2 linked regions of the Coturnix japonica genome follow. The protein of the gene in region 2 interacts with the protein of the main gene of each other region in a biochemical or structural test. Links are inferred from orthologs where the notes say so. Each region holds a gene or a part of one and is shown on either strand. Other genes may lie near its edges.

Evidence for each region.
Region 1: the proteins of GAB1 (region 2) and GRAP2 form a complex in vitro, tested with the Homo sapiens proteins (2 studies listed by BioGRID and IntAct, with this or other methods). The link is inferred for Coturnix japonica from reciprocal best matches to the Homo sapiens genes GAB1 and GRAP2.

Annotation. Positions count from the first base shown.
Region 1 is NC_029516.1:45,896,158-45,900,421, forward strand, and holds the start of GRAP2 (GRB2-related adapter protein 2), read right to left. Parts: upstream 3,074-4,264; 5' UTR 1-3,073. UniProt on the Homo sapiens protein: Interacts with SLP-76 to regulate NF-AT activation. Binds to tyrosine-phosphorylated shc.
Region 2 is NC_029519.1:26,860,268-26,864,082, reverse strand, and holds part of GAB1 (GRB2-associated-binding protein 1), read right to left. Parts: intron 3,239-3,815; coding exon 3,145-3,238; intron 2,818-3,144; coding exon 2,694-2,817; intron 578-2,693; coding exon of another isoform or gene 502-577; intron 1-501. UniProt on the Homo sapiens protein: Adapter protein that plays a role in intracellular signaling cascades triggered by activated receptor-type kinases. Plays a role in FGFR1 signaling. Probably involved in signaling by the epidermal growth factor receptor (EGFR) and the insulin receptor (INSR).

The sequences.
Region 1 (4,264 bases), on a different chromosome or scaffold from region 2:
AGCAGTCCACAGGCAGCTCTGCCTATTGAGCATCAGCCTGTCCTACAGCAGCAGGACTTGTGTGCTGGGACTTGCGGGTAGCGTGACACATAGCCATTGTGACCTGCCACATGCCTGCTGTTCCAACCAGAGCCCTGAGGTTTTGTCCAATACATCCATACCAACCTGTAACAGTCTATGTTTTACCAATGCACCTCATTCTCAAGCAACTTCCACACCTTTTCACCCCATTTTCTCTCCATCCACTTACTGATGCTCTTTAATTCTTACTCATTTGCTCTATGTGTATCAGAGCTGCAAGTATAGCTTAAGCTTGCTGTCTAATTGCCCCTTTTTTATTCCAGGTGCAACTCTATGGATGCAATTCAGACCTGATCTGAAGACTGTCCTCTGTTCTTGCACTGACATTCTTTGCACTCCTGTTTGTAACTTCCCACAGCCATTCTTGCTGATAGAGTGTAAGGGTTTTAAATAGGGGAGGAATTAGCCATTGGGACAACTAGATAAACAATAATACTCTTTCACGGTAGAGAACCAAAGAAAAAAGACCAAGGATAATTACTTTAGTAAGGGATTTATTTCAGTATTTCTTCATATGGTGGTGGGGATCAGAGCCGACAGTGCAAATGAATCCTGGAACTCCTAATGCAGAGCATTAATCTCATCTCGAGGAAAAAACACCCAACAACAAAACACAAAACAAAGCACAACAAACAAACAAACAAACAACAGAAATCAAAGAGAACAAACAAAAAACCTCCAAGCCCCAAACCAGTTCAAAACAATAAATACAAATCCTGTCTTTGATTTTTGCTCCTCAGTCACAGGATAGGCAGCAGGGCTTCTCTCTGCAGGGAGCAGGAAGGGATGGGGAGCCTTTCATTTCTCAGTCTCCCAGGTGCTAAAGATGCCACTGGAGCCGTGACCCTCTCGAGAGAAGTGTTTGTGAAACGGTTAAAATCTCCTCTCTCACCTCATTTTCAATTTCAGCAATCACAACCATGGGGAGAGACCAGGAGACAGATACCTCTTCAAACAATCTAACACATGGATTAAATGTGCTTTTCATTGCCAGCGGCTGGATTTAGAAGCGACTCAAATACCATGCACAGTGTTGGCTGTGTTGATAAATCAGCAATGCTGTGGCCTTAAGCTCTTCCCCCACAAACTACTAAAGAAGCACTAACCCATAATCCTGTCTTTGAATGGCAGCCTACCACTTTTCATCACCTGAACTTCAAACCACCTCTATTTTCTGATCCCAGTCCTCCCTCCATCTGTAACTCGAGGATGTGCAGGTCAGTGCTGGGCCCTCATGAAAAATCTCCTCCAGGGGCCCTTTCTTTTGCTCTCTGAATGTGTGTGACTTTGAGCACTACCCCATGACACACCAAGATGAGAGTTTTTTAGGTAATCATCAGAACTTCCATTTCTCAAGCACCTTTTATCCCAAAGGACAGCACTGCAGTTTGCAGGCAGTCAGATTCTGCTTTTAACTGCCTGGTGCAACTCCTTTAAGCTTTCAAGTAACCAAGGACAATTTTAGACTGTGCATAATGTTCTGAGAGAGAAAAAAAATCACCTTTGTGCAGGGTTTAGCATGAAGCCTCTGCAACTTTTAAAGGAGGATTTGTCAGTTCTGAGTATAGGCTGATGAGTACTTCCATTTTGTGCCGGTTCTCTGCATGGAGGTGAATTTTCTCTGCAGTTCCCCACTGCAACGAGGCAGATCCAATGGGCACAGGGCTACTGCTGTTCCGTGGGACTGATGCTGCAGGAGGTTCATCAAGAGTGAAGAGAAAAGCAGCCCAGCTCTGAGAGCATGAGGTAGGTATTTCAGTTTGGCAGAGTGCCATTCCCTGAGCAAGAACATCAGCCTCTCTGTTGATGAAAAGAGCTGAGGCCTAAATCATGTCAGCAAGCAGCGTAATCTGACAACAGCATCCCAAAGAGTTTCCCCTACACCAAATTGGATTAAAATTCAGTAATAACAATGCCAGGGAAGGTCACCTCCTATGAAGTTTATCACTCTGGGATGGCTCAGGTTCACCCCTACTCAATCTCACATATTAACATCACAGAAGAAAGCACGGTTTCCTACAAAGTGGCTGCTTAAAGCAGCCCTATGAACAGAATGTTGATCTCCCTGCCTGCAGCACAAATACCTCCAGCAGGCAGCTCCATCCAGCAAGGCTTCGTGCTGACAGACACAGTGCGAGCTGCTGCGTCTTTGTTCCGCTCCGCAAGAGCAACCTATCGGACTGATGAGCAACCAGGGACAGGATTCAACCCTGAACATCTGTACAGAAACTCCTGATGACATTTCAGCAGAAACAATGGCGGAGGGACCCGTTATCTAGAAGAGCTGTGATAGATAAAGGCTTTGTTGTCACCAGCTAAGCCACATACAAGTGGCATGGGAATATTTCGTTCCAAAAACACAAGCCTCTTGTTACTGAGTTAATGGCACAGCTCCGCTGACTGTCAGTGATAAGAGAGTAAAATTTATAAGGGAGAACAAGCTACTAAAGTGCTCAGCGCTGTATGTTTCAGTCTTAGCTGTGCTGCCATCCAAAGGAATGCAGGGCTCTGGGCTGAGCCCTTGCACAATGCTCTGACAAAATAAACCTACAAAGAATAGGATCCAGAGAAGGAAAACATTTATAGAGCTCTATGACCAACAGCAGTCAGTAAGAAGTAGCCAGGTGAGGATGGCTCTTGGTCACCCCGGGAAGTCTGGGGCCTCGTACTGCTCCAAGCACACAGAGCAGATCAGGGCAGCACCCTGAGACGCCATGCACAGGCAGCGCTGAAGAGTGCCACAACTCTGAACAGTGTTGTGAGAGCACAACATCATGAATCTCTGCTGGTGCTGAGGACCAGAGGCTGCTTTCCCCAGCCCAGTCTACCCCACCTCCTCCCACAGCTCCCAGCTGGTTGGATGTGGCCAAGATGCAGGGATTTGTCTCTCACAAGCACTGCTCTGGTGTGGAAGCCACCCGACAAGATGACATAGGGATCCCATGCTCTTCCCCTGCCCTGCAGTGCTTTACTTCTCCCTTCAAGATCCCACCTCCCTCCCTAGAGCTTTTCCCACTTAGCTTGGTCCCCCATCTCTCAGAGAAACACTTGCCCCATACCTTTTTTCAGTAGCTCTCCTCTCCTGTGGCACTTTTCTAGAAAGCAGGAGGTGTGTTGCTGTCTAGGGGAAAGGAAGGAAAGGAGAGCTCAGCCCATGCAGGCTCCTCCCTGCAGTGACAGTGCCACGGTGGTAATGGGTCCACGTGTGTGGATGAGGGTGGTCAGGAATTGGCATGGAGGACGGAGGACGGATGCTGAAACAGTGTCCATCACAGGACAGAGTGGGACACAGACCATTTTCAATCTCTAAAGTTGAAGATACTCAGTATGACACGTGCTTTTAATGGTGCTGTCAGTTTGCTGCCACTGCCTCAGCCCATCCTTGTTTAACAGCCAAATAACAGAGGGTACGATCCCTCAAAAAATGTGAGTTCTACCCAACTATAGAAAACAGAAAAGAGCACAGATCTGCAAGTTAAATGAGAAACCATCATAGGTTCGTTGAAAAGCATATCTTGAGGAACAAGGAGCTGAAGACATAAAAACACGTAATAAAATTATTTTCAAAGACAACAGAAGCAGGAAGCCTGCCAGAGCGTCTGTAAGGCTGACAGATGATTGAGATGTAAAAAGGGTGCTCAAAGAAGATAAGGATGAGGCATAAAAGCTGAGTGAATCCTCAGCATCCGTGGGTCTTCCAAAGGGATGTAAGCTGTTTCCCACATTGGGGTTTTCTTTGTGGAGAAAAGCCAGGGAAACTAGAAGTGGTTTTAGGACAAATCAGTATAAGAATGGGAGTAAATCCAGGGATTCGGTATTTTAGAAATCTTGACTGAAAATTAAACGGAGCGTGAAATAGTAAAGGTTGAACAATTGAGCTGTGACATACAATGTAGGACTTAACTCAGTCTCCATATTAGGGCAAAAAGCAGCAAACATGATGCCAACCATTTTAAAAGTGCTTTGAGGGGATGCAAAGAGCAGCAGGTCTAACTTCTGTATGCCTGAAATTAATATGCAGAAACCATAATGAAGAAAAAGATTACCGTGAAGAGAGAAATGACATAGAGGTTGCACCTTGTAGCTTTTGCAGAAGGCAGTCCCACTGCACAAATCTGATGCAGTTCTGTGAAGGAAATGATGAGCATGTGGGTGCAGGTGATCATTTGAGGTAACATACATT
Region 2 (3,815 bases):
ATGTTATATAGATACAGTTAAATTAAACAGAAACAGAACAACGTTAAGCCTGGGACAAAATCAAAAGCCAAAGGGAATGGACGGAAGGAAACCAAAAACCACCCCCCATAATTAAGATTGTCATCAAATCAATCTGTACCTTCCACCTAATACCCCTTTCATATCATGAGGTAATAAGGGAGTTGTTTTGGTGTTACACGTCTCAAGTTTAACATTTCTTAATTACAATTTAAAAAAAACCCAAACAACAACAACAACAAAAAACTTTAAATGGCCATTATATATTTTAGAAGGTTTCAGCCTTTCAATGGTAGCAAAGCTTCAAACAAGACTTTTCAGTTTCACTCGAATCTATCATAACTAAGCTTAAAACCAAAATGCATTATTCAAGTTAACAAAACTAAAAGATTATCACTTTGGATAATTTGTGCAGGACTGCCTAAACTGAAGTTGTATTGCATATACCTACATTTCAATTAGCCCAGACTTTTACAACCTCACCTCCTCTGTCCTCTCCCAGCCTGATCCCTCCCTCTTAACAGGTGTTATAGGAACAGTACAATAGAAGGACTCTTCTCTAAAAGATAAAGAAAAAAAAGGAAGACAGAGGGCAGCAGTCAGCAAAAAATGAAGAGGAAGGCAGAAGGAAAGACAGAAGGGTAAGGCTGACAGCAACTTGAAAGAGAGAGCAGAACATCGCTGATTTTATTAAATAAAACAGGAGTGCAGTGTGTCCAAATGAAATGATTCAAAGCTGATGACAGAAAAGGATTTTAAAAGTATGGAGTTCCCACTGAGATGTAGCTGAAGCAAAAAATGAAATAAATAAATTCTGAAAAGTCTATGCATATTTTTAAAAAGGGCTTTGAGATACCTGGAAATATTCAGATTCTCTAGGAAATAAAATATTTTATTGGTTAGAGCTTAACAGGCCGGGCCTTTAAAATTCATGCTGTTATACATTATGTCTGTATCATCTAACGTATTAAGTGGTTACAATGACAAACAAACAACAGGCAAAGTTCTTGTCACCCCAATTCTTTAAATATATTTCTACATATTTAACATAAAAGCAGCATCTGTGTTAAGGTTTCCAGCATAATAATAATAATAAAAAACTCTTAGTCATTAAACATCTTTTTATCTTAAGCAAACTAAACAGGTAGAACACAGGTATAAGAAACCAAACTTAAAATACATTTAAATGAGAATGAAAGGAAATCTGTAGAACAACCCAGGAAAATGAATGGTGCAAGCAAACAGAAGGATACTGATGATAGGCTGTCTTAGCTGCAACACTAAAAACACTATCTTAGCACCCACTGTAAGAATCAGCAGAAATTCCCACTTCTAATTGCAATGCTGCAGTTTTACTGTGGGTAGAGGCAATTCCAAACCTTTGCAAAAAAGGACATTTATTGCATCTGTATAAGGGGACGTTACTGATTACTTACCAGTGCCTCTTGCACAGTACTCTGTGAGGAGCTAAGTTTTTACATCACTGGCTCCCCACAGCTGAAGCGCACTTCACCTAGGAAGCCTGCCTGTGCTGCTGTCAGGTCTGACAGACATTGATCTAAGCATGAGCCAGGACCTCCTGCAGGCTCGTGAGCTTGCACTGAGTCGCAAGTGCCAAAGAGAAATCAGCAGGTGGGGCTCACTCAGGGGGGTCGTAAAAGGTGGTATCCACAGGCAGCTACAGAGCACAAGGGGAAAGAGACTGGAGGAGACCAGGGAGGGTATCTGGGACAGCAGGGAATAGGGTAGCAAGCAGCACTGTGAAGAGCCAAGGGTTAAGTGAAATGGGATAGCACATGCCATAGAAGGCAGCAGAGTAATAAAAAGAACAAAAACAGAGGTAAGCAGATTCTGCCTCAAAGAACCATAGCTTGATACAACTTTAAAGACGAAAAACATATTCCCTAATAAGAAGTCGAAGCAGCAGAAAGATGGTCATCACACTAAAACTACTCTGACCCAAAAACCGAGGTAGCGGTGCAGGTTTTCCCCCAGAGCTTCAAGGATTGAATGGATTAGGTTTCATTTTAGGCCTAGGTTTACTGCTAACCTTTCACTTAACTTTTTTTTTTTTTTTTTTTTTTTTTCCCCCTTGTACTCTCTCCTGAAGAAAACTAGAACAGAAAACCACAGCATATCAGTAACTTCTCTTACCTAGCTCTTCAGTGAATGCTAAATATTTGAGATACCTCCATCCAAAAAGTTCTCCCCAAAAGGGGAAAAATAAGCAACGTATCAAACTTCCCCTCCCACTGCCACGGACCCTCCACATTTCTCAAATGTCTTTTTAATAAAGGTTTTAAGCCTGTCTCAGAGGACCTATGATAGCTCATTTCCCTTGATGCCCTGATATTGAACTGTCGCATGCTCTAGAACTATCTACAGAAGACAAGACAGTTTCTACAGAAGAGAAAAATAAAGTCATCTGCTGATCTATTTTGCAGTCTGAACGTATGCTAACCATATTCCCTATATATGATTATGCTCATCTCTTCCTCAATGAAATCTTATCAAAATTACAATTGCAGTAGAGGTTTTTTTTTTTCTTCTTTTTTTTTAAATTTTGATCTAGACATACAAATGAAGGTGATGTTGAATGGAAGGATTTGTGTTTGCATGATTTAAAAGTAAGGACTGCACAGGAAGAGAGTAGTTAAGATGTAGATTTTACATACTGGGTCTTCAGTGGACTGATTTGGATTCATGGATACATAATTCTCTTCACTGTCGTGCGAGTCACTGCTGGAAGTTGTGCTATGAACTGAATCCGGTCTGGGAGACATGGGAAACCTGGAGGAGCTAATTACCAGGAATTATTTTACAAACAATACATCTTGAATATCTTAAACCTCCTGGTAAACAATAAAAATAAGCACGTTAGAGCTGAAATTGTCATTCAAGACTACTAGAGTGCCTCATTGTTTGGTTACACAGTCCTTCACATACATTATTAAAAAATAAGAATTAACATTGACATACTTCTGTCTTAATGCATGCATACACATACACACAGTTCCAAAAGAATCTATATTACACAGGCTGAAAATACAACACAGATGTATATATACATTATTAATGCTATAGTCAACAGAAACAATCCAAATGAAGAAAAGCTAGGAAACTTACTCTCGCGCAAAGCTTCTGGTGATAGGAGATCTAACTGGGGCTTGTAATTCCTCCCATTCGGGCAGAGGTTTTATTTCTAGAGGAGCTGGTTTTGCTATATAAGAACACAAGCATAAAACATTCTTAAGCAAGCTTAAATTTAATAGCTTTTCCAATTTTTAATGTCAAAAAAATACTGTTTATTGAATGATAAGCACTAGTTAAGAAGAGACACTTCCATTCTCATAAAGCTATGATACATTAACTTATATTTTACACTTTCCAGTTAAAAAGCAACACTATTTAAAAAAGACACAATTTAAGAATTTTGCAAGATATACAGGTATGTAGTAATTCTATTTCGAAAAAAGACTGAAAATGGCATCAAGTTCTGTGGCATGACTTGCTGAACTGACAAGCACAAATAGGGTTGACTGACAGTTTCAGCCTACAGTGCAAGCACAGCCAACTCCGTATGCTTTTATTGGCTTGTGGACAATTATTATTATGCAAACTCTGAGCTGCGAAACCTAATCCATAAGGAAATCTGTGCAGTGAGGGCAAAGTATGAACAAAATCTTCAACAATGATTAAGTTTGCAAAATGGAGAGATGAGCCAATAGTTAGTTGCAATGCCAAAAGGTGTTTGGCTTGCTTCAGAGTTCAACTGAAGAGTAGAGCAGCAGCAGGCT